Neodiprion lecontei: one gene and its partner. The protein of the gene in region 1 binds, or shares a complex with, the protein of each later gene. Links are inferred from orthologs where the notes say so. Each region holds a gene or a part of one and is shown on either strand. Other genes may lie near its edges.

Evidence for each region.
Region 2: THO complex subunit 6 (region 1) and THO complex subunit 7 homolog share a complex: the UniProt entries of both Drosophila melanogaster proteins name them as parts of the THO complex. The link is inferred for Neodiprion lecontei from reciprocal best matches to the Drosophila melanogaster genes thoc6 and thoc7.

What each region holds. Positions count from the first base shown.
Region 1 is NC_060266.1:5,732,190-5,745,605, forward strand, and holds THO complex subunit 6, read left to right. Parts: upstream 1-6,777; 5' UTR 6,778-6,950; intron 6,951-7,129; 5' UTR 7,130-7,143; coding exon 7,144-7,271; intron 7,272-7,464; coding exon 7,465-7,692; intron 7,693-7,823; coding exon 7,824-7,991; intron 7,992-8,538; coding exon 8,539-8,701; intron 8,702-8,856; coding exon 8,857-9,177; 3' UTR 9,178-9,221; downstream 9,222-13,416. Other genes in the region: peroxisomal membrane protein 2, read right to left, coding at 2,849-2,950, 3,154-3,273, 3,351-3,498, 5,835-5,930, 6,228-6,325; mitochondrial fission regulator 2, read left to right, coding at 9,785-9,856, 10,825-11,012, 11,506-11,648, 12,168-12,390, 13,025-13,184. UniProt on the Drosophila melanogaster protein: The THO complex is required for cell proliferation and for proper export of heat-shock mRNAs under heat stress.
Region 2 is NC_060266.1:24,838,129-24,850,067, forward strand, and holds THO complex subunit 7 homolog, read right to left. Parts: upstream 4,749-11,939; 5' UTR 4,558-4,748; coding exon 4,548-4,557; intron 4,374-4,547; coding exon 3,949-4,373; intron 3,895-3,948; exon of another isoform or gene 3,819-3,894; coding exon 3,636-3,818; 3' UTR 3,570-3,635; downstream 1-3,569. Other genes in the region: lisH domain-containing protein ARMC9-like, read right to left, coding at 1-167, 250-611, 694-924, 1,007-1,083, 1,167-1,296, 1,372-1,545, 1,633-1,708, 1,793-1,842; alpha-ketoglutarate-dependent dioxygenase alkB homolog 6, read left to right, coding at 2,389-2,442, 2,539-2,715, 2,843-2,950, 3,100-3,201, 3,284-3,541; zinc finger protein ubi-d4 A, read left to right, coding at 5,096-5,175, 5,324-5,433, 5,563-5,802, 6,057-6,262, 6,429-6,498, 7,942-8,097, 9,063-9,467. UniProt on the Drosophila melanogaster protein: The THO complex is required for cell proliferation and for proper export of heat-shock mRNAs under heat stress.

The DNA of each region.
Region 1 (13,416 bases):
GTTCATTCTAATCCGATCGCAAAATCTTGTTTTTCGAAAATTTTGTTCAACTCTTCGACATTTTTTATTTTTTTTTTTACCATTCGACTCCTTGTACCATGAATACTTTTCAGCGTATGATGATGGAAGCAAAATGATATCAAGATATTAAAAAAAAAAAACAATTGAAATAATCGACTCTGAAAGATTTGAGATGAACAGCCCCGTGTGTTTGAGTGCGTTATTTAGTGAAAAAAAATATGATACGCCCACACACGTTATAAGATGAAATGTTCAATGTTGATTCGTTCTATAATACTCATTGGTCTAAGACGTGTAATACATTTGTATTATTACTGAGGTACCGGATGAGAAACCAGGCATCGGTTCAAAAGATATATGGTTCAACTGAAAAAGGTACTGAAGTTAATTTTAAATATATACTAGTAAATATAACAGTTATTCTAACAACAAAGTCATAAAAGAATATTAATATTGCACTAACAATGAAGCACTGAAATAATAGAATTCGTTCGAATGATATTTTTACCCCACAAAAGATTTTATTTTACGAGTACAATGTTGATCGTACGCCGAGGCCTTGTCGTAACATTATGAAAAAAATAAAAATAGGGAAGTACAGTGTTTTTTCAGCCCTCGCCAAATGACCTTTCGATATGTCCGAGGTTCAGTTTCTCGCGTGGTATTGTTGTGCGACTTTTATCCCCCCCCTCGTAAAACACATCAGTTGTACCATCGGTTCTAATATTATGCGCAAAGTGTGCATTATTGACGGTTATATTGAAATCCAATAATTAATTTAGCATTAATGAAATCAACCGTATATTTAGTTGTTATTGCACTAATGGACCCCGATACTTCTATGCCGGATGTCAATACCCTGCACTGAAATACTGGTGACCCGCGGTAGCAAATCTTCGCATAGTGCGTAGGAAGAAAATAATGTGCCAGTCCTATTTCAAATATTCATGAAATGTATTTTTAATATATTACTTCCATTATACTTGGTGGAAGCATGTTCATATTTGAACATCATTACGAAGTGTCTGTTGTGATGGATTTTTGATCATTCGTATATGTGCGTCTTACAGCAACGAATAACTTGAAAATGCGAGTAGGTATTGCTCGTTATCGCTTTCAAAACGTTTCAAGAGAAATGTAAATGTCGCCAATATTAAATTTGAGCAAATTCACTGCTCTAAAAAACTTGTTGAATTAGGTCATTGAACAAAAAAATAAACTAAGCAATCGTGGGTATAATTATTTATCTTTTCAAGAAACCATTAACTCTGTTGAAGTCTACATACCTTATTAACAATTCGTAAATAGGTGACGTACAAATCAACTGATAATTTTCAAAAAAATTCAATATATTTACGAAGAAGTTTTCACGAGAACTTAATTTTTGTTTTTTCAAAATGTTTTCAAAGAGTTGTCAAACAAATTTTGTAATTCAAAATGTAAATATTGCAATTAATTTTGAAAAAAAAAATAATTCAGAGCAAATATCGACCTAATTTAGAATTCTTTCTTCCAAAAGCCTTCGTGATTGTGTATTTGAGTATGACATGAGTAACGAAAAATTTTAAATAAATGAATGAATAGTAATTTCGCGTACCTAGTATCTAATTTTAAGTGAAATAAAATGGCGAGTCGATTCAGGCATCGTAGAGAAATTTTAGAAAAAACTTGGATTCTACAGCTTCATCCTATTTAGCCTAGTCAAATAGAAACGGTAGCGATACCTCCACAGGCTGCTCGAGTAGCTTCGAAATTTCAATATTTCATTTCTTTTTAATTGTTGAATTCTTACGAAGACCAATTCCCGATTAAATTGAGAAAAAGAAATGGTTTAGAAAAAAATGCTTTACAGTATTACATTTTTATACTGTAACATTTTTGCAATCCTCTGTTCTCAAAACAGAATAATAATATGAGACTTGAAAATTGCTACCGATTTTGAACCCTTCACAAACAAAATAGTTACTAATTCAGAATGTTACAATCGTTAAAGCAAATATCTGATGATTATATCTGTAATATACTCTGTATTGTTGTGTGTGATTAAATCAAAATGCTTTCAAATTTTACCCTTCATTACAACCTGCTAATCGTTAAATCATGTTTTATATTTCCAGCCGTTGATCCTACGATGTTCTCGAGATATTTCTGGAATTCTGGAAGATCCAATTAATGAAAAGAGGCTTCAGAAAATCGATACTTGAGCAAAAAAACTTTTAGCTCAAAAAAAAGAAAAAGAAACCCTAAGCCATTATTATTTGATAAAAAAATAAATTGCTGTCAACAAGCTGCTATTGATTGTTTAGTTGCCATTGCAGGATTCCCTGGAACTTAATTGGTACAAGAAAGATCTTCTAGCTGTGGATTCTCTGTTGGAATACCAACCAGGATTGTTCTTTGCAGAAAATGACAATAATGGTAAAGGTAAGAAATTCATTTCTCCGCCTTCTCCGATTTAATATTGCTTTGTTTTTTATTTATACCTATAATTTGGCCAACACTTTAAATAGGTTTAACAATTAATATTGTCATTTCTCATTTCGAAATTAGCTTGTGCCCTGAAACATTTTACACTCAGTCCGATACTAACGATAAGTACACGGATCATATTCATGTACATATAAGGAATATAATTGAGCAAAATATAATTGCCATTAGTGAGCTATAACAGCTTATTCTAAGTTTTCATAAAGTCGCAGACGGAATAATAGCGCTCTATATTTGGTGCGACATGATCAATATATTAAATGTCATATCTTATGCGTTGCATTTACAAAAGTGTATAAAAAATAATATTATTTATAAACCATCGTCACTTGACTAACTCTTATTCCTTGCGCGCTCGGTCCATGGCTGTTTGTTTTGCCCTCTTATTGGCCAAGTATATTGACCAGAAGAATCCAATCAGATTTACTACCAGCACACGTAGCTGTAAAAGAATGCAACTTGTATCAACAAATACATATGGTTTTAGAACTTGCTAATTACTAGGATTTATATAAATTGGTAACATAATGTAACGATTTTTGTTGTAAAATTCTAATAACGTATTCCTTATTGGCAAGATTTGAAAGTATGTAGTTAAAATTATGAATCAATATTTTTCTGAGTTCATATTATCTATCTGATTACCATTGGTGGGACGAATGTTATGTTGATAAATTGGAACAGTGTTAAGTACTTCCAATTTGCCGCTAGAACGGGCCAGTATAACTTCTCCAACTGAGCGTAGGATGTTTCGTGAGTTTTTCCCTGAAAAGTAGTAAATACATTTAATTATTATGCATCGCTATATCCTATTGGTAAATATTCAAGATTGGATTATGTACCTCAAATCGTGCGAGCATGTACAATGACAAGACTTGGAAACATGGTGTATACAAAATTCTCTCTATCAGCAGAATCCCAAGCGAATGCTTTGTTAACTTGTGGATATGCTGGTAAAAATAATGAGGCACTGGTCCACCAAAAATGAAGCTAAAAAGAAAAAATTAAACGAGATAATACACGTCACAGTGTTGAACGCGACGATTAAGTCGAACGTTGCAAAGTTCGCGCATTCTTACTAAAACGTATACAGCATCCTGTTTTGGACTACTTGTTGGGATGAGTAAAAAACTACGTGAAATCCAATACAAGAAGGTTCGTACAAAAATTCGCAAAAATAAAAAGGCGGTATCATTTTGTTAGTATCGAGAAATTCTATATTAAGGAGAAACCTTTGAGTTTTGTATTATTATAAGGTAAAAGAAAACATAGGAAGCCTTTAGAATATTATAGTCACACTGTAACTACACGCACCCTTTGAAACCCTACAAATTTTGGTTAGGAATTTTTTTTCTATCTCAGTTTTGAAAATATCTCGATGAGTTATTTAAATACGAATAGCCTGTATATTTTAATAATGTCTTCGGATAGAATATATTCGCGATGCTCACACGGTGATTAATTATCTGAGTAGCTGAAACGGATACTGTTGCAAGGAGTCTGGATAGATAAAGTTCCATAGTACAACATGCCCAGGCAGTACACTTTCTGACATGCCGACTATCATTTGGCTTTTGATAGTCAATTAAAAGTCAACGCACACAATAAAACTGACTAAAAATTATTGAAAACTTGCAAAAATCGTGACTCGTTAACTAAGCTTGGTAATCTTTTGCCGACCGTAAATCGTATTGCTATTTAGGTGGGAGTCGTGAATAATTAACAAAGCGAATTTCAGTGATATTAGAACAGTATATGTCGGAAAATGATTGTGTAAAGTATCGAATGTAGTTAGAACAATATCACACAGGATTGTATCGATTTTAAGTAAATAAGATGTTATGGATAGAATAAAAATACTCTACAGTAAAAAAAAAATCAGAAACCAGTAGCTATGTTCATTTTGTAGACAATTCAAGATACAGCATCGATATATGGATATTTTTTGGTACATGTGTGGTGTGCCAAGTCTTTCGTGAGATTGAAATTTGTAATGTCAACGCAACACTAACGTAAGATTAAGTTACTTCTATTATTAGTGAAGGTTGTGGGAACAGCGGGGCAAAAGTGAATTGCCTACTGAGATCCTCAAAATATCCTGAAAGGAAATCTTATATCCTCATTTTTTGATACCCTATGAACCCTGAATAATTGGGACGATAAAATTTTTTGTTCATACATTTGCCGCAACAACGTTATAAACACCAATCTCATTGTCTTATTGAATGCTACAAAATAAGTGATTTTAGATTGAAGCTGCAAAGCGTGTTGAATAAATTATTGACCTTCTCCAAAGTTGGTACTAGTTGTGTAGAGTTTAATGCCATACAGCAAACTCAGCGCAACGAAGCAGGAGAAAACTTGGATACACCATTCATTTTGGTGAATTCCATTCACATTTCAGATCTGGTAAATACATAATCTCCAATTCGAAAATATAATTCCTGGAATTCAAATATTGCTCTATTTAATCAAATGAAATTGTATATTGATAAAATATGCCTTTCGCCTAAAGAATTCGAGCGTTTTATCGCAACTCAATAGTTGATAAGTATCACACGAAATATAAAGTATGCTTATAATTCCCCATACCTTTCGATCATGAGCCAAATACCCATCCATGTATGCATGTATTGTACTTGATAAGATGGCTTAACAAGAATACGGCTTTTTTTTAATAACTGCGTTGCAATTGTTAAATTGAAACTCGTCTCTTATACCTGGCGAGGAAAGGATAAAATATTGCTGATTTATAACACGAGGCTGAAATAATTTTTGGTTTCTTAGTCTTAAGACACTTTGCACGGCCAACACACACATTTTGTTAAAGTATCAAATTTGCCTCACCTTGACCATATACTTCAACTATTTTGATGAGTTTATATATTCGAAAATTTGGAACAATTTCAAATGAATATGTGATATTTTGGTATTCAACACATACAACAATGGGCTTGTTGGCGAGAACTGCCGAGAGTCGAGACTCCTTGCAGACCTCGTTACATAATTGGCGCTGGCATTGGTAATGGTCGTGAGCATCGCGAATAGTAATTAACTTTATCTGTAAAACAGTGTAAATTAAATTTTTCGTCTTTTCTTGTTTTTATTTGGAAAATTTTACAAATTTTTAGTAAGTTAAACATGTTACAAATAGATGATTGAATATTAGACAATTAGGTAATAAGGCATCTGAGTAAATATTTGTTGTGATTTTTAATCATTCCAACAAATCTTTTACTCAAAGAACTCTTGATATATCGATATGTACATACTATAGTGAAATATTCATTGAAATTTACATGCGTAAATGATGCCAAGCAACTTACCCGAATAAAGCGAATGCAATCAGACTATCGTGATTGAGGTGCTTCGCTCTGGATAATTTCTGTGATACATAATTACCCAAAGTTGCGATGCAGCAACTGGAATTGAAAAATACATACCATCTAATAATAGAAAACTCTTGTGATACACAAGTAATTCTGAGTTATGTGATACATCGGTGTTGGTACTACTTTTTTTTTTCACTTTGCCTGATTTGCTGGAATTTCTAGTAAAGGTCTTACAGTAAAGATATATGCGTTGGTTTTAATATGAAAAATTTTTCAAATATCGCGGAAAATCATCAAACAATCAACTCATACGAAAAGTGTTCATTGACGTAAAATTCTTCTCGCAAAATTACAAGTGTGTCGTAAATATGACGAATTATTTTTTACCTCGTAAGAGCCTTCGTTTTTAGCGGAGTTGAATAAAGACTATGAAAATAAGCTCCAACCAGTTCGTAAACAATGTCTACAGATTTTGATAACGCCATTGTCACGAGTTATCGCTGTTTTTGGGGTTGATCTTCTTTAATCTTCACTGATCTCTACTTGCGGTATAGTGTCTCTGACCTCTATCGTCTCTTGAGTCTAGTCTCTAGTATCGTTATCTATCTTACTTTTTTCTTTTTTTTCTTCTTATTTCTGCTCAATCATACTTATTTCCAATTATGCTGTTTTTTAACTTATGGGTTCTTTTAACTCGACTAGGGCTATGATTGGATAAACAAGACGAATAATGTTACTATAGCATATCATCAGTCAACGTGTGCTGTCAGTTTTCACCTAGGAACCAGTAAATTGTAGAAGAAGAAGTCTCAGATTTCTAAGCTACAATTTGTAGGTATTGCAACGTGCCGGGCCACGAGTGTTGCGTACATGAAATGCGATGAGAACCGTTGGCGGTACGTCGGTAACCTATAATTGAAACCTTCCATTTTGGAAGCTTGCTACGGTTTTTCACTTTTTACATTTCCGACCATCCAAGCATTCTGATTGATTTGCAAAGTTTAGTCAACTGATCACAATGCTTGGATGGCGAGAAATGAGAAAAATGAAAAACCGTAATAAGCTTCCAGTTTTTAAAATCTAGAGATGAGCGTTTGCAGCAATCTGTCGGTAAAATTGTTCATCCTTATTCCAATTCCATATTGTTCCTCCGGCGATCCACCTCTTTATAGTCACTTATTAGTTACTATTACTTCGTGGCTGAAAAATCCAAGCGCGCTTCAAGCACACTTCAAGTGAGTAAATATTGTGGAGTAGAGCTTGGCTAGCCTCATTTGCTTCCGTTCAAGCTCTCACGTCAAGAATGCTAGAACAAAAATCGTGCGGTATGAACGAGAAATCATTTTACAACACTGTTCAATGTCAAACTTTTTCTGCCGATGGGAATTATTTATTAGCTGGGAACATATATGGCGACGTTTCTGTCTATGAGTAAGTACAAACGATTAATTTTTTAATTCAAGTAATTCAATAATCCGTCGACCTGCCAGGTTAAGTTGTATAGTTTTACAGCATACCCATAGTGATAGGTTTTAATCTTACAAACTTGATTTTACGAATATTGTCGTAGTTGATGATGACAAACATCATCAACTTTTACAATTGGAAAATTATTCACTAATAGGTTGTCTAAGGTACTGGGTCCCTATCATGGAGATGACTGTGATCCAAGAGGGCCGAATTATCAATTCACTGCGTATAAACAACAACAAGTTCACAGCATTATAGCAACTGATAAATTTCTGATTACCGGAACGGTAGGAGAAATATCTGGATGGGACTGGAAGGTTGTGACTTCCAATAAAGTATCTAAAATTAAAGTTTCCTGGACGATTCACATACCAACCGTTAAGTAAATATCAAATTGCACAGTACGCTATTAAAACTGTCATGTATTTACAAATTGATGAAACTAATTACATTTGTTCATACATATTCCACTTATTTTCAGCTGGTTTTATTTCTCTTTTCTAATAATTTAAGGGACAGCTACGTTAAGCCAGATGTCAACTACATGCTAATTTCACACGAAGACAACATATTACATGCTGGTTGCGGTGATAATAAGATATATACGTTCAGCTTAGAAGATGGAAAATTACTCAGAACACTTGAAGGTCACGAGGATTTCATCCATGCTCTTTCAATTTTGTAAGTAAAATTTATTAACATCTAGAGATTATTTCATAATAAATAATACATTTGGGTCATTTTGAATACTCACATTCATTATCAAACGAAACAATTATTGCAAGTAGTTATTTTCAAACTGAGGTAAATTCGTAGTCTCTTGTTGAGAAGTAGCCTTTTACAAGATTAGACAGAATAGAGTTGGTATTAAATGTGGGTTGTGGAGTGTACATCTGGATCCAATCAATTTAAACAGGCATTTCAGACATTATCCGATTTTTAAAAACTTAAACAAAAAAACTATGTAATCTAACATTATAATTTGTGAATAAGTTTTTTCGACAGTAACATTTCGATCTCAATTTTCCCATGTTTGGAACTAGTTTATGTAAAACTCTAACTTTGTATGCTATTTGTTGCACAACATATGTAGAATTACATTGTGCACATTTGATTTAAGCTTTTTAAAATGATACTGTAACGACTTAGGGACAGGGTATTCTCTGAATATCGTATTTCACAAAGCGAAGAAAATAAATCCCTTACACTCATGTCTTAATATCAACAGAGGAAATCAGCTGGCATCTGCTAGTGAAGATGGGTCAGTAAGACTGTGGGATATGAGAAAAAAAGAAAACACAAATGTCGTGAAGCCTTTCTTAGCAGACAAAGTGAACAGACCCAAGCTCGGCAAGTGGATTGGAACTGTTGATTTTACGGAAGATTGGCTTGTAAGTCATTCTAGAAATTACAATAAGGGCTTGGGAAATCATCTTCACTTGTTGGAACTGTTACATTTTAAGGGAGTTTAGTCTAATCTCATATAATACTACGTGAAAAAATATCCTATACAGTACAACATGATTCTCATTATATTGATCCTCAGCTCTGTGGAGGTGGTCCAAAATTGGCTCTCTGGCACATGCGAACTATGGAAGTGGCTACTATATTTGACTTACCTGACCAAGGTATTCACCTTGGATCTATTCACGAGGAGAGAATTATTGCTGGAGGAGCAATGCCAAACGTCCACCATCTCACTTACCAAGGAGAAGTGTTAGCTGAAGTTCCAACATCGAGCAATACAATTTATTCTATTGTTCATCAAGAGAGTCCACAAAAATTATTGAGTATGGCTGGATCAAGCAATAATATTGACATTTGTACAAATTTCAGTTACAGAGAAATGGTACTGAAATTTGCTTGACATGATAACAAAAAATTCAAGCACCCTCTATCAGGATACAAGACTGAAAAGTCCTGCTCTGCTGCGAGTTACTGCGTAGCTGTACCTCCAGAACTTGTTGACCTGCAGAGGCAACCAATAACGTAATGTTATTCTTCATTTTCCACCACTCAAGATAATTTTGTTCAATCATTTTATGTAAAATATACTCCGTTTGAGTAAAACGGACCTGCTAAATTATTAATAACTCCCCCATAGGACTGACCCTACGTTATCTTCTCTCCTCAATGGTATGAGTTTTTTTTTAATATTTAAGATAAGAATAAGCATATTAATATCAAGTGGTAATTTAACTTTTTGCAATAATACAATTGTCATTAAATGTTAATGGTATTTGGACTGCGTTTGAAAGATTTATGTATGTATGTACAAGTTTGTTCATTAATCCTATGGAGCATATAGGAGGGATATCTTAGGGTTATAAGTGAGCCAATTTTAGCTGCAGTAGTGGAGCTGTAAAATGAAAATTGTTGAAATGGTGTCGTAATAAGTGTAACTTGTATAACTAACACAATCAAGTTCATCACTCAACTAGGTGGGTGACACAGTAATTCTGGCAGTCCTCGAAATGTCGCCAGCAGCTAGTAACGCTGGTAGACAAGTGGTTCATACAGGTTCATATAGGCAATGGGTAGTACAGGTATACATGAATGACTACGGTGGCGGCATTACGTGACCATATTATGGTAGTAGGACAGCGGCGCGTGGCTGGGGGGTGCAATCAATGACATAATTCGTATAGAACCAAAGTCTTATTTTGTTTCGGACGGTGAACAAGTTGACCGGAAAGTTAAGGCACTAATAGTTTCATACATTTTACTGTACATAGTTAGACAGTACATAGATGACGTAATTGTATATGGTGATCCTCCTGATTCTAATTTTTTTTTCACCATTGAAGCAAGGACCTTCAATCAAGCTGCTTTCTGATTGGTCAAAATCGCTTTCGCCGGTGAAAAGAAGATCAGAATTAGGTCTATGGCAATGCGTTTTAGAACACACCTTGTACAATACAAATATAACTATGTATTCGTATCCTTGCGCGGAGTTGAGTGACGTAGTAGCATGGTGAAGTGGAGCATTTTGCACCGTGGCTAGTTATGTATATGATAGAGGCTTCGAAAACTTCTTTTCCGAATGCCCACAGTCCTTAGAATAACGAATTGTACAACTAGATATTATTATATTAACCCAAATTGAGGTGAGATCACGAAGTAATACTTGAAACACCTGAGTTCATTAACAACGCGTCAGTTAATTTTTTATAAAATAGGATTCAATTTCAAGCTATACTTTGTCGCAAAGTGTTGTACGATTCTCAACACAAAGATCTTATTCACTACCTAAATTAATAACCAGGATAACGAACATAGTGTTTGTATATACTTTCATACGAATGGTGCTAATTACGTCACGCATTTGTAACCTAAAATGTCATTTGTAAATGTTGCACACGTCAGCCTAGATTATTACTCTACTACGATACAATCCATCCTAAATTTCGTGTTAAATTTTCACAACTTCCAATGCACAAAACTTGAACTTTCACAGATCACGATTACAAAATAGCAAATTGCACTTCACACGTTTTCTGTCTTATCTTCACAGATGGCTGAGAAACCCAAGTACTATGGAAAAAATCGTAGTATTGTACGCAGAATTGGTTCGTTTCTACCGTTGAAGCCTCTCCCAAAAATCTATGTCAGCGTAACTGCTTTACATTCAATGAGCAATTCAATGATCGTTGATGATGCAAACTCTAACATTGCCGATACAAATGGATTCGGATTGGAAAGGTAATGCATTATGTCATATTATAATTTGTTTTTAGACACGAAACAAGCATGTTGTATATCAACTTCTGTATTCCAAAATTGTTGAGCTGAGTGGTAATATAGAAGCTAAGTTGAAAAATATAGTCTTGAAATAAACAAAAACGACTAGGAAAGTGATTTTTAAATTTACAACGTCAACACAATTTCGTAGGATATTTTGAAAGCCCTTAATTGAAGCTGAAAAGTATTATTCAGTGATGGAAGAGCGATAACATGTTGAATTAAGATCTGTTTTCAAACGTGGAACTTTCCAATATAAAAATACCTTTTTTTACATTACTAATTCAATTACAGAAAACAGAAAGTAACAAAGATTTAAGTATCTGCTATTTGGCACAGTGATATATACAATATATCTAAACATTTTTAAAAATATTGTACATTAAAGTGCTGCATTTGATTTTACGTCTGCCAACTTATTTGCTGACAGTGCTAACAAGGGACACATTTTCAGTGGGCGGCTATCTGGAAGTAAGCCAGACTTGTTAGAAACCATTAGCTTTGGTTCTGAAGTAAGATTGCTCGCCCTGGAACAGGAGTTACAAGAAATGCGAGAGAAAATTGCAACAATTGTCCAACACATCAAAACAACAGACCGTACGTATAACACTGTATTTAATAATATTATGACATTGATAAATAATTGTTGTTGTTACTGTTATTATTCTTGCCTGAGTAAGTCTTGCTGTATATGTACGAGAGTACTTATATTCAAACAATGGAATGCAAGTTGTCTGTGAGATATGTTATGACTGGAAACGAGACCGATGAGTTGACAATCCGATAATGAATTGTTGACTGCTATCATGCTGAAAGTAGCAGGTGATAATAAGCAGCTAATCTGTGTCTAACAGTTTCAGGGGGAGAGCAAACGATAAAACATCTAGAAATATAATTATGAGAATTCCCTGAACAGCCCTACTACGTTTCATTGTTTGCTCACTAGCTGAAAGCTTTATACACATATTATTTGCAGGCTATTACCTACTAATTTCAGCGTCACTTGACTGCTATGAATCCTAAGCATGATTCAGCCCATATATTCTGAATTATATATTTGGAAAGACGAATTGAAGTAGCTCATTCGCACATTGACGTATTTGAAATCTATTGCAGCACCGTCCGACACGACCAGTGAAAATGCATATGCAAACGACCCACCCCGCCCTCCTCCACCACCACCACCTCTTCCGCCCCCAAGTACACCACACATAGCAAGAAGGGCCAGTTTGCAAGATCATACAACATCTGAATGGCATAAGCCACCCTTGAATAGCCAAAAATCAATGGGAGATATTCTAAAGGAAATGGACAAGGTCAAGTTGAAGCCTATTGCAAGGTGAACATCCCCTTTATTATTTGTAAACGACTATTGTCGCTGGTAAAAATGACGCATTTTACAGAAATCAGGTAACGTGTATGACCGTTAAACAAAGTGAATCTCGTACAATATCACGACTCTTTTAGTATTCGGTGGCACTCAAGTTAGATAAGTGCATGGTGATTTCTCGTACTTATTAAATTATCTTCCAGGCTGTTATATTAAAATATTAAATACCGTTTTTTTTTTTTTTTTTTTTTGCAGTGCATATACACACGTATGTACAAATAATTCTTGTGGGCTAAATTCGTAGAAATGAAAATCTCACTGCAATTTACTTTAGCCATCTGACTTCTTATTCTTTCATTTTCTACTATGGCTTTTATTATAGTGGACTTTGCCGTTTTCTATTGATAACAATTTAGTTTCCTCAAATATTTAAGCGTGCAAACTTTACATTCAAATGAAATATTAAATAATGCTTTCTAAGATAGGGATGGTATTTGGAAGAAACTCAGAATTTTCGGATCCCTCAAGGCTTATGAGTTCTTATTCAGCTAGCATGAATGTGTTGACAAAATAGTCTTAGTCTATTCTGTTGTTAGATTACTAGCAATCGATATTCCTGTAATACAAAAACGGTTTATTACAGATCGCCAGGTGGAGGACCATTAAAGTTAAAGCGTGGAAACACTCCTAATAATGATCTGCAAGAAATTTTGAGAAAGCGGTACAGTGTTGTACAAGCTGAATCTCCAGATAGTCGAAACTCATCTATCATCTCAGCTCACAACGATTCATTTACCCATTAAAAACTTCCGTGAAAATCAAATATTTAAATACGATATGATAAAGACTATTTTTTTTTGTTTTCATTCTCCATTCGAAGTGAATTATAGTTCAGTGATTTTCTACCTAATTGTGAAATTAGATTTTGCCTATCTGCAGGCACATATCTTTTATTTGAAACGAAATTTATTACGCTATGATGAATCTCTTTATCTGCCAAAGAGGGTGCTATTGATATTTTAATTTGAATGATCG
Region 2 (11,939 bases), about 19 Mb from region 1:
TGTACAAATGAGATTTAGTCAGTGATAATTCTGGGTTCGTTTGAATCGGTGTTTTCATGTTTTTTGTTAGCACAGAACAATTCAAAACTGCTGCAGGCTGGCGGAGATCGCTTGTAGATATAAAATTTGTCGTCGTCGTTACGGTACTGATCCGGGTCTGTGCGCTTCTGATGAGACAAAAATTGAACATTCAAGAATATAGGATCGTTCGTCTAACAGTAATATTCTTCGCCTCATTTCAATACTTACTTGGAATGTATTCTACATGAGCGTTTCTTAGCATGGCAGCCAAGTCGATCAATTATGTTGTGATTTTCTCTAAACATTGGGATATTTCTATCATTCGGGGCAATATCTATGTTATCCACTGTTTGCTGGGGAATCAGTCTCATTATTGTACTTCTGGTTATCTCCAACGGCATTCTCGGAACATCATTTTGAACCATAGGTATCTTGCCAGCTGGATTCATACTCATTAATTTGTCCTCGAAGTCTTTCAAATTCTCACACGTCAGAGGCACGTTTACAACATTTCCTTGAACGCATACATAAGGTCTGCTTGCCGTTGTCATCGTCTCTGTGGACGTTTTTTGAGATGCCGTTAATCGAATCTGAGGACAAGATATCAAAGAATCATGAATTAAGTTCGCTTTTGATGAACACACCGTTTTACGCCAATTACGATACAAGTACCTGCTTCCGATTCATGAGGAAAACTTGTATAGTCTTTGTCAACTCCTCCATCCAACTAATTTCGAATAATTCTGGGAACGTAGTGTAGGTTTGATCATCATCCAGGCAGGGAAGGGCAAAAAAAGGTAAAAAATCCGTTTTCTCTTCAAATTCGCGACCATCTGTCTCCATATAAGTTCTCAGTTGTTCCATGGCGTCAGTCATCATTTGCTTCGATTGATTATCATCTCCCTGTGGTAGAAATTTATAAACAAAACCATCTTTCTAATCGTGCTCAGTATCGGAGCCAAACATACTAGAGAGAAAAGCGAACCTCTCTTCCAAGAAAATACATTTCAGCAGCGTTCTCAAGTATTTTCATCATTTGTGTTCTCGAAACTTCGTCAGACCCTGTATTTGAGAAAATCAGTTGGAATTTGACAGTGAAATTCAAACATACCGAAGTAATAACGATAAGAGAAACACATGCTCACTCTGATCTCTTAGTAGATCCAGTTTTTTGATTCTCAGTGGCAAAACAGCAAAATGCAGGTGAAGTTTGAAGCTCAGCACTTTGTATTCTGTAGTTTCTCTAATGCTTTGTGGGATCAAGTTATTCCAGAGCTGCGATCAGCAGAAAGAACAACAATTAGATTTCAATATTCTTCTCGATTAGATGGTGCTACCTTCGAACCTTACATTAAAAAATTGCTTCCAATTCCCAGCGACGTACTGGGACATAACTGCCTTGCAGACGTCCTTGGGTATCGCATTTTTGGTGCAGAGATGTTCGGTGAGAACATCGAACCCAAGTTTAGGCGCCTCGTGAACCAAGCAATCGGCCGTACTCTCGAACTCATTGTAAAGTAAAAACTACGACAAAAGCAGAAAATAGAATGATTGCCCCTTATCTAGCGAATCTAGGCTTATTGTTAACTTTTGTAATACGATATGACAGACCTGATGAATCAGTTTAACCAGACAGTCATTGACCTGAAACGATCCCAGCAATTCTCCCAACGACGGCTTGCACTGGCTTGTAAAATTCAGTTTCTCATTTTATTTAGAGTTATCCTTTTGGCATTGAAGAAATTTTTATTCCGTACATAAGAACGAATACCTTTTACCATCTATGTCTCCCGTACCTCCAGTCGTCCTTTCCTCCGTCATTTCGCGTCTTAATTTACTTCTATTTATATAATGCGAGAATAATCGATAAAGCGAGGAGGGTTAAAAACGGATCAATTTCGTAATGACGCGCGCCTGAATCCATGACAACGTGGGTAGGCTAGATTTTCAGCGGCAGCAAAAGTGTTCCCGTGAGTTGATCACGTGTTGATCAGTGGATCTCATTCTGTTGACAATTGTTCCATCATTCCGACACGTGGTTTCGACCTGTTCAGATGGGCCGGTTATCATTGCCGGGTATCACACTTAGACGAGTGACGCCCAATTCCGCTAACGTTAATCGAAGCATAAACTTAGTGTAGTCTGACTCTACACAGAAACAACTGAACGCCGTTTAAACTGTGTAATTCCCACCATCGGAACCACGGGTCGGAACTATGGAACTCATGAATCGCAAGCGAATATCAACAGAAATGAGATCCACTGGTGAACTACTTGATTAATGCTAAGATGACAGTGACAGTTTACTGCAGACAACTTCGTGATTTTCCCTACTCGGAAAACCGTTGATTGAAGCGCTGAATAATAATGGACTTGGTTTGCGAAAATTTGGAAATTTCATCGGCTTCCATCGTTCCGAAGGTATGATTTTATTCCAAAAATCGATGAACATAATATTGGTTGTGGATATTCGAGGTTATGTTATCTCCTTGCAAAAAAATTCCATTCGATTCATAGATACCGAGAACCGTTCGCTACATTCCAAATTTCATAACGCCGGAGGAAGAGATAGAAATTATTAAGCGGGTGAACAACTCTCCGTTACCAAAATGGACCCAGTTGAGTCATCGTAGACTTCAGAATTGGGGTGGTATACCTCATCCTAAGGGTATGATAGCAGAGGAAATACCGGCAGTGAGTGAGAATACAAGGGCCATTTGTTTCAGCATTTTTTTCTTATTCTGACTCAAAATACATAGTATTTTCTAGGCAGAAGTAGAGGAGGGGGAATAACTTACAATAATCAAAAATCATTTTCTAGTGGTTAACGAAGTATGTTGGGAAAATATCAGGTCTCCAGATCTTCCCAGAAACAAAATTACCCAATCATGTCTTGATCAACGAGTATTTGCCTGGGCAAGGAATAATGGTAAAATAGGATCTCATTTTATAATATGTTTCCTAATACTTTGAGAATATCTCTTCAAAATTGTGGCATTGTTCTTCTTTATGAATAACACAAAATCGTACAGTCTTCTTCCTTTTGTCCCTGATATGGACTGACTTTTTATTATACAGGCACATTCGGATGGTCCATTATTTCATCCTATTGTTACAACAATAAGTTGTGGCTCGCACACTCTCCTGGATTTTTATAAGCGGAATGAGACTGACCACGTAGTAAGTATCTGTAAAAGAAATATTGATAAGGGTGAGAAACTACGAGCTTTTTGACAGTTATTCCTGAATTCTTTATTCGTAGGAAGTTTCTAATCTGGAGTTTACCTTGCTACTTGAGAGAAGAAGTTTACTTATTTTAGAAAACGACCTGTACCACAAGTACCTGCATTCAATTTCTGAGAGGCATTGTGATACGATTTCAAGGAAGAACATTATGAATCTAGATCTCTGTGCTGTGAAATATCAAGAGAATGAAGTGATTGACAGAGGGACAAGATTATCCCTGACTATCAGGCACGTTCCAAAGACCAGCAAGCTCAAATTGAAACTAGGAAGATGATTTTGACGATCTTATTTTGCTCAAATTCATCTCTCAATTACTTTCCTACAATAATCTATTGTTGCAAAACGCTACGGGGGAAAATTTGAAACATTTACCAGGCTGCAGCCTTTGGAGACATACACACATCCACATCCTCGTAATTCTCAAGACTGACGTCCATTATTTCTTCATCAGACTCATCCAACATTCCTTGTAGCGAATGAATCGACGATATTAGCACATGGAATTGTTTTCTTCGCATTTCTAGCTTATGCTCTAATTGTTCAGATTTTTCCTGTAAGAATAAAATAGTTGTTGCCGTACTTTTTCCCAAGAGACACACTTTAATCGGCTAATTGTCGACATAAAAATGAACGATTTAAAACTATTTCTAAGATAGGATAAAAAATTTGTCCATAAAATACCTTCAAGGTTCCCAACTCTTTACGCAAAGTGGCGAGCTTCACATCTGTTTCAAGTCTATCAGGCTGTTCGCTGATCACTTTGGCAAGAACGTCATACTCGATTCTATTTTTACGAACACGTTTAGCATCTTGTAGCTCGACCTTAGTTTTCTCAATTTCTTTTTTAGCCTCTTCAATTTGAATACCAATATCCTTTGACATCCTTTCATAATTCTTTAACTCCTCTTGACTCATATTTGCTACGAGACGAGATTTTTTTTGTGCGAATTCACACTGGGCTAGCTGTGACAGCATTCTTTCATGCACAGTATTGTCTGGATCCGGAGTATTTGCCCATTTTAAAAACGACTTCAACAAAACGTTTATCCGTCTATCATCGCCTGTTCCATCTCCATCTATGAGTAGACGACGTCGTATAACTTCCTCTAAAAAATCGTGCAATTAAAAACGTTTAACTAATGTTGTAGTATAATCACAAAGCTAATTTTTTGTATAAAAACACAAAATGAGGTTATGTCTCACTTTCCGGCGCTTATACCGTGAAACTGACATAAATGTCGCATTTACAATTTGATTTTGAATTATATTTGGCTATTTACCATCTGACATATTCGATGATGTAGTGACGTCGGGTTCTTGAAGTTTAAAAATTTTATTCAAGGTGTAAACATCAGCTAGGTCGAACTTCAATTTGCGTTGAAAAGAACCGAATTTTTTCTTCGTTCAACCTCAATTAGAATAAGCTACTACAAACACACGGTATCGTAATTTTAGTCGGTAAAGAAAGAGTCAACAATTACCACAAGTCAGTCGCCATTTTATTTACAACGTAACGTGACTTGCGCACTGATTCTATTCGATCATCGACTCCAGGGAAATTATCGCATGTGCACGAGATGAAAAATTGTAAATTTCTTATAAAGAATCGATTATAAATCAATTGTTCCACATTTGTGAAGCCAAAGCTCGTGACATATCAATTGTCCCACTTTAGCAATAATCGCTATCTGTCGCAACTTTAATATATAATGTAGGATTATATTATACGCTCCCTGATCGACTCTTCCTTGTACTTCCGGCAGATTTAATGAAGGCTACAATGGCGGTTGCATTTCCGATTTCCCCATGAGATGGAAACTGCTTGAAGATGGCGACGGTGACAGCTCTCCCAGCGTCCCATCACCTAATTCAAGTAGTGAACGAGTCGAATTTGAGTAAAATCGAGAGGTGAGTGCGACCAGACGATTGTCACATATGTTGATGGAAATATTCGCATCGTTAAATTGACAGAGTAATTTAACCTCGACGATTTTTGCTCCGTCGTAGGACGAGCGGGTTGCACTTCGCTATGTTGAATGTATTGATCTGTCCGCAGCTTCCTGAACGACACCGCCTATAGAGAAGCCATAGAGAATTCTTCCAATTATAACACAAGACTATGCAGAGAACGAAGACTGCGAATGCCCTTCCTCGACTCGCAAACTGGTAAGTAGATGGAACCAGTTGATTACTTCCTGTGATTATTGTCATTAGTTACTGGATATCTTGACATTCCCGTCATTCCTGTCTTGGTTAATCAATGGCTATTGATAAACGAGTTTTTTCTAACCACAGGAGTCGCCCAAAATCACTCGGCTCTCTTCATGTCGGCTCGAGAACGAATCCCAGGCTTGATGCATGGTCAGGTATATACTTACCCGAGCAAACGATGGCGGAAAAAGCGGCGACAGTATCTGATGCACTATCTTCACCCAAAACGAGGCACCCGAGGGGATATAGATGACGGAGTCGAAGGAGCCGACGGAATTGTTGCGGGACTAAATGATGACAGCAAAGATTCTGTTGCTCTCAAAGGTTCGTCCTAATCAATATCTACTTTCCATGTTATCACATACATCTGATTGGCATCTCCTTCCGAGTGGGCGTGCAATAATTGTTGATACAATTTCCGGTCCAATTGATTCTCGTCGCTCGTTAGATTTGCCAATTCACTACCCTCAATGCTTAAAATATATTTTAAGCCCTACTGAAATTACTTGTTACGTATGTTTCCGCAAACTCTCTTGTAGTCTTGATGTTCAACGATTATTAAGAAAAAATTATTTCAGATGAACATAGTAAGGATGCTTGGTACTATGATGAGCAAGACATGCTGGACATGGATGCCTTCGACGAACCCGATCCAGACAGTGACTATGACTACGAAGAAAGTTATAGTAGTAAAAGACGGAGAAGAAGGCCCCGAGGTGGAGCCCACCATCCTATCAGGGGACATCCACCCACCGTGGACAGTCCTGGGGCCAAAAGAACAAAGGTGAGTTTAATATACAATGTATTGCTTCCATCAGTTTTTTATCGAACTTATTCATACTGGAAAGATACTTCATGGATTAAACAGTTTAGATATATTGAAAACTTTATACAAATGTCGAATTTATTCGGAGCTTCGCTCAATGAACAATCTGTTGTTGTTGATACAGGGTGGAGGTCGTGGGAGAAAGAAAGCTAACTACGACAATGCCGACTCCGATAAGCCTTTCGTTTGTGACCGTAAGTTTAACCATAGATATAACTACAAATGATCACTTCCTGTTGTTTTCATTGAAACAAAAAACAAATTATTATTATTATTACTGCTACTACCACTACTACTACTACTACAAAAACAACAGCAACAACAACTACTACTACTATCACTACTACTTCTACCGTTTATTGTTTTGGTTTTAAGTAACTAACGCAATGCGTTGCAAAATTTGTTAATCTTATTCTATTATTATATTTTTACCATACTTATCAACTATTTGCAAGGTAAACAAAGGAATATATGATATAATATATACTAGGGAAGAAAAGCAAGAAAGTAAATCATAATCAAAATAAATTCTTAAAACGTTTAGATTAACACACTGCGTAATTTTGCGTCGGGGAATGGAGTATTTTATTTAATATTTTATTGTCTCGAAAGGTACTCTTCTAATTGACATTAATTCCCAGATGCTTTAATGATAAAAGTATGAATTCAATGATACCAACTACAACATTACTCACAATTTTTAAAAAATAACAGACTAATAAAAAATACTAATTATGCTCTGATGTTCGTGTGAAGATGTCAGTTAACCGGCAAACTATTCTGCTTGACTGCTTTTCATGTTTCACACTATTACAATTTCTCGAATCGCAACACTTCCAGCATTTCAATTAATCGGCATAGAGAAATTAATTTCGCACTGCGTTGATTACATAAATAGAATCGATTGAGTGATAGTCTTTGCAGTTTATCAGAAAGTCTTTTGAATAAATCAGTTTTGGTTTACATTACCACCATATACTTTTTGATTCAAGCTCTTCGAATTAATTCAAGCGTACCTTGCATCTATTTTCTGTTTAACAATAACATCCTTGTTATGTATTCAGTTTTAAAAAAAAAATAATAAAGACGTTTTTTTTTCCTAATTAAATGATCAGCGAATCAGTTTTAAATGGTGAAAATGAATTGCTAAAAAGTCCACCTTTTTGTCATCCCGTGAATCAAATCTAATATTTTTAAGGGTAATCGTTGGAAAAGAAAACGTCTTTTGGAACACTTAATATTTGCAAATAACTTTACCAAGCGAAAACGTAATGGCTCGCTTTGTAACGATTTAAAAACGTAGGTATTTTCAAGCATCAAGCCTTGCATCGTATTGGTTTTTGCTTCTTGGGCTGGAACTCTTTCACTGCTTGTCCATAAATAGAGATCAATGATCGGTGGATAGGGATGCGTATTAGTGCGGAAAGTGTGCAAGTGATATCCCTGATAAAATTATCCTCTGGCTTTCGTCCTCCAACCCCCGTCAAAATTGTTCAGGAATTCAATTAAAACTTGTTGATGAAGAAACGAAATGAATCAAAAAAAGAAGAGAGAAAATATCTGGCCTGTAAGAAATATTGGTTATACGTTGAACGTACTTTTTTTTTCGCCGGAAAACAGTGTTTGCACTTTTACAGTGTGCGGCGCTCGGTATAAAACCAGACCAGGTCTGGTATACCATTACGGTCATTCCCACTCTACCTCCTCTGGCGATCCTGCTAAGGAACCAAGTCCCAGTCCCGCAGATGTTGAATCGTGGAGTGCAGCTGATGTCAACGCTTTGGACCAGCCAGGTTGGAGCCAGTATCAGCTCAGTTTTCTCACCTCCCTTTCGTACCAATAACCCTTCGATATTTCCATCCTATAACGTTACCTGGTTGACTTGAACTCGTACGAGCTCAACTCCAGATTCACGTCTTTCCCGTTCACATATCATCGTCACGTTTCTGGCTACGTCCAAACACTAGATCGGGACAAACCCGCATAGACACAAAATATCTTATCTCATCGTGAATTTATTACTGGAACATCCTGATGATCCGTGTTTGGTCGGCGTTAGAATTTCACCACCCCTGCCTTGAATCGATGTTTTTATGCGTACTCGTGTTGCGTGAGTGTCTGGTACGTGTGTGTTCTTCGTAGAACCTGTCATTCTGTCTTCAGCATGCTCTTCAGCTCAACGAATAACAACATAAATTATTTATCTTTTGTTTGCTGTATCGGACCTTTGAAATGAAAGGGGCTGTTATACAAACACCTGCGAAAAATAAAGAAAACGCGGGTGATTGTAACGCGAACCATTGACGAGTACATGTAAAATATTTGAGTCGCCACTATAGCTTGTTGCGTATATACATATTGAGTTTGGAGTATTGTTATTAGATATCGGTTTACATACCGCAACCTAAATGTGCAGAAGGTGGTGGAGAATTTTTTAAATTGCAGCCTGTTTGTTTTTGTGTTCGATTATTTATTTATATTTTTGATATGGTTTTGATTCGCTAGATGTTTGAAATAATTTATTCAGTTTAAAAGAACGACGCGTTATTTTCCATTTTGCAAATAACGCTTGCGCGACATCGAGTATAAAAGAACAAGAAAAATGCCTGAGACATTCCCGGTTGACATTTTATAACTGAATAAATTGTTATTAAAGTTTTAAAAAAAAAGTCGAAGATAAGCTATCAATCGATCTGTGTGCATGGACGTCGGTTAGAGACGTAAAGCGCAACTGGGTATGTGGTCGGTTTGTGATTAGGTGGTACGCGAAGGGGTCGTCAGAGCACTGCTTCGTCGAGCAATCCGACCCCACCACCTGCAGCGCCTCTGGCTAATGCCGGAGGAGCAGCAGTACCTCAACAGCAACAACAACCACCATTGGCAGTTCAATCGTCTGCTGCGCCATCCTCCCCCACTGTACCGACTCCCAAGGACGACCTACAGTCGGCTGTTCCTTCTCCGGGTACTGCAGTTCCTTCTCCTTCTTCAGCAAAGCCCGAAGCGGGTCCGACGACGACGACATCGGCGCCGAGCGGGGAAAAGAAAGTAGGAAAAGCTGCCCAGCCGTCTCCTTACTGCGACTTCTGCTTGGGCGATGCTAGAGAAAATAAAAAAACTGGTGGTTCAGAGGAGCTGGTGTCTTGCAGCGATTGCGGCCGCTCAGGTAAGCCAGAGGAAAAAACTAAGCGCAAATATGCTAGGAGGGCTAGTCACAATTGACAAAGGAAAATAGTGCCCTAAGTTTAATTCTTGTAAATGATTTTGTCATTTCATTCCTTGACGAGGATCATCTTTCCATTGCGCAAAGAGATTATTCGTTTCACTGAGAATGCTTTCAGATTAGAGACTTGAAAAAAAACGAAAAAAAGAAAAAAACAACAAACAGAAAATAAAACGTTTTAACTAACGGCACTCGTTACTATCACGCTATGCAATAGCTAAATACAACTTGATAGAAATAATAAATAAATGAAAAGAAAAATTAAAATATGAATTAAGAAATTAAGAAATAATATAGAAATTTTTACTCTTGGTATTCGGGTTGTTTCATGCCATGCAAACTCTAATTCGCAAACATTATTATTTTTGGAACATTAATATAACTCGAGTGATTATCTAGAGTAAATAGCCCGCGAATAATTTATTTGCGAATCAAGTTTTGCTTAGCAAGAAATAGCTTTCTAGATATATAATACTTACATCTGATTAGATTTATGTGGAATTCATTTCTCTCGTCTAACTAGCTTTGTCAATGGTCTTCTTTTTTTTTTTTTTTTTTAACCCTAATACATTATTAACATGTGTATAAAATCTTGTTTTTCTACGAGTCGCAAAAAAGTACCACAACTTTCCAGCAATAATATACAATGACATCGGGAGGTGCAATGATTAAAACAAAATATGTACAAGTCTTAGATTAAATGGTTACGAGCTTTACATATATAATTATTAATTTCATTTTTATCCGTGCCCAGTAGAACGGTGTATTCGATTAACTTTTCTCCAAAGATTGTGAACCGTTCATTGTCGACTTTTTTTAAACAAATGTACCATCCTGCGTTTTATAGGTTTCAAGCCCTTGCTTTGAAACTTGACAACTTGCCGGAATCATATCGATCAAACGCGGGACCAAAAGTATGAATTTGTCTCTAGCTCTGTGATGTATTTCCGGCAAGTTATCAGGCTCAACTTATAAAATGTAAGGTAGAGTGTCCAGTTTCCTTGTACGTTGGCTAGCCGAGGCTTGCTGTCTGTTAACGTGACTAGTCAAACTGGACGAGGTCGAAAAAAGATTGACGGTATTATTTGAGACGAAAATCCCTCTTTTCTATCATGTTGTTATTTAATTTTTTTTTTGTTTTTTTTTTTTGTTTTTATCTTTACTCTTTATTTCAACTGAAGTTTTGGGCATTAATTCTTCTCAATTGCAAATCAACTGTTATTTCCTATTTTTGTTTTCGTTTTTCTTTAAGCTTTTATTGTAGTGCATTCTAAGGACGAGTCATACAATGACACGTGCCAATATTTATTAGAAATATTTAAAGTGTGAAGTGTGGAAAAAGAGAAAAGACGAAGGAATATCATTTACGATAGAATCTCAGAACGTATTTGCGTTTATATCGAGTCTTCTGATTATGTAAAATGTTACATCTATGTTATAAAATACGAGACGGTACGTTAGGCGATGACTCTGTATGGTTGTATCGACTTGTAAACTATTTCCACCTTACCTGGACTCGGTACAAACTTACGCGCGTCGTGACAAAGATATTCTCTGGCTAGGCTCCGAAAAATGTAAGCTTATATCAATGTAATATCATATGAGTTATTAGATACAGCATAGACGAATCAATGTCGAGGGAATGTTGGAGTAAATTTTACTAGGAAAATTGTAATTACCGCAGTCATTGTATCTATTTAGCAGAACGCCTTTAGAGCTAAGAAGCATTGGCGACAAGCTTTTTTAACATTGACTCTTTATCGTTGTTCCCTTGATACTCATATGTTATATAATATAACGAGCATGCCGATAGTTCCTCCTTGTTGAATAAGATTGACGAATTTGTTATTAGGCAATTTTAATTGAGCAATACCTACGAGGCTTACAAATTACAATATTTAAGTACCCGTAGTTTATAAGTATGCAACTGTATGAGTCGCGTACAAGCGATACAGAAACCCTAGTGTGTGTGTGTGTGTGTGTGTTGAATGTACGAGAGAAGGACGGAGAGGGAAATAGATAGAGAGACAGAGAAGGTGTTGTGCGAACGAAAATGAAAGAGTGACGGTGTGATAGAAAGAAAAAGCTATTCTGCGACGTTTATATTGTGCTGCGCAAGAAAGAACGTGAACTATTCCAAGGTACGCCCCCGCTATTACTTACCACCTATTACTCCAAATAATAATAACGGTATGTCCAAAACGCAACGTCAAAAAACATTGCAACGCAATAAATAAAATTAAAAAAAAAAATAAAAAGAAATTTTGTGCGGAAAATATGGTAGCGTTTTCTTCATTATTCTGGACGTTTTAGTGCTGAGGAAAGGTGAAAGAGTTGTGTATATATATGTGTATATATATAAAAATATGTTTTTGTGACTAAAGGCACTTGTGAACAAATTTATGGAAACGAGTA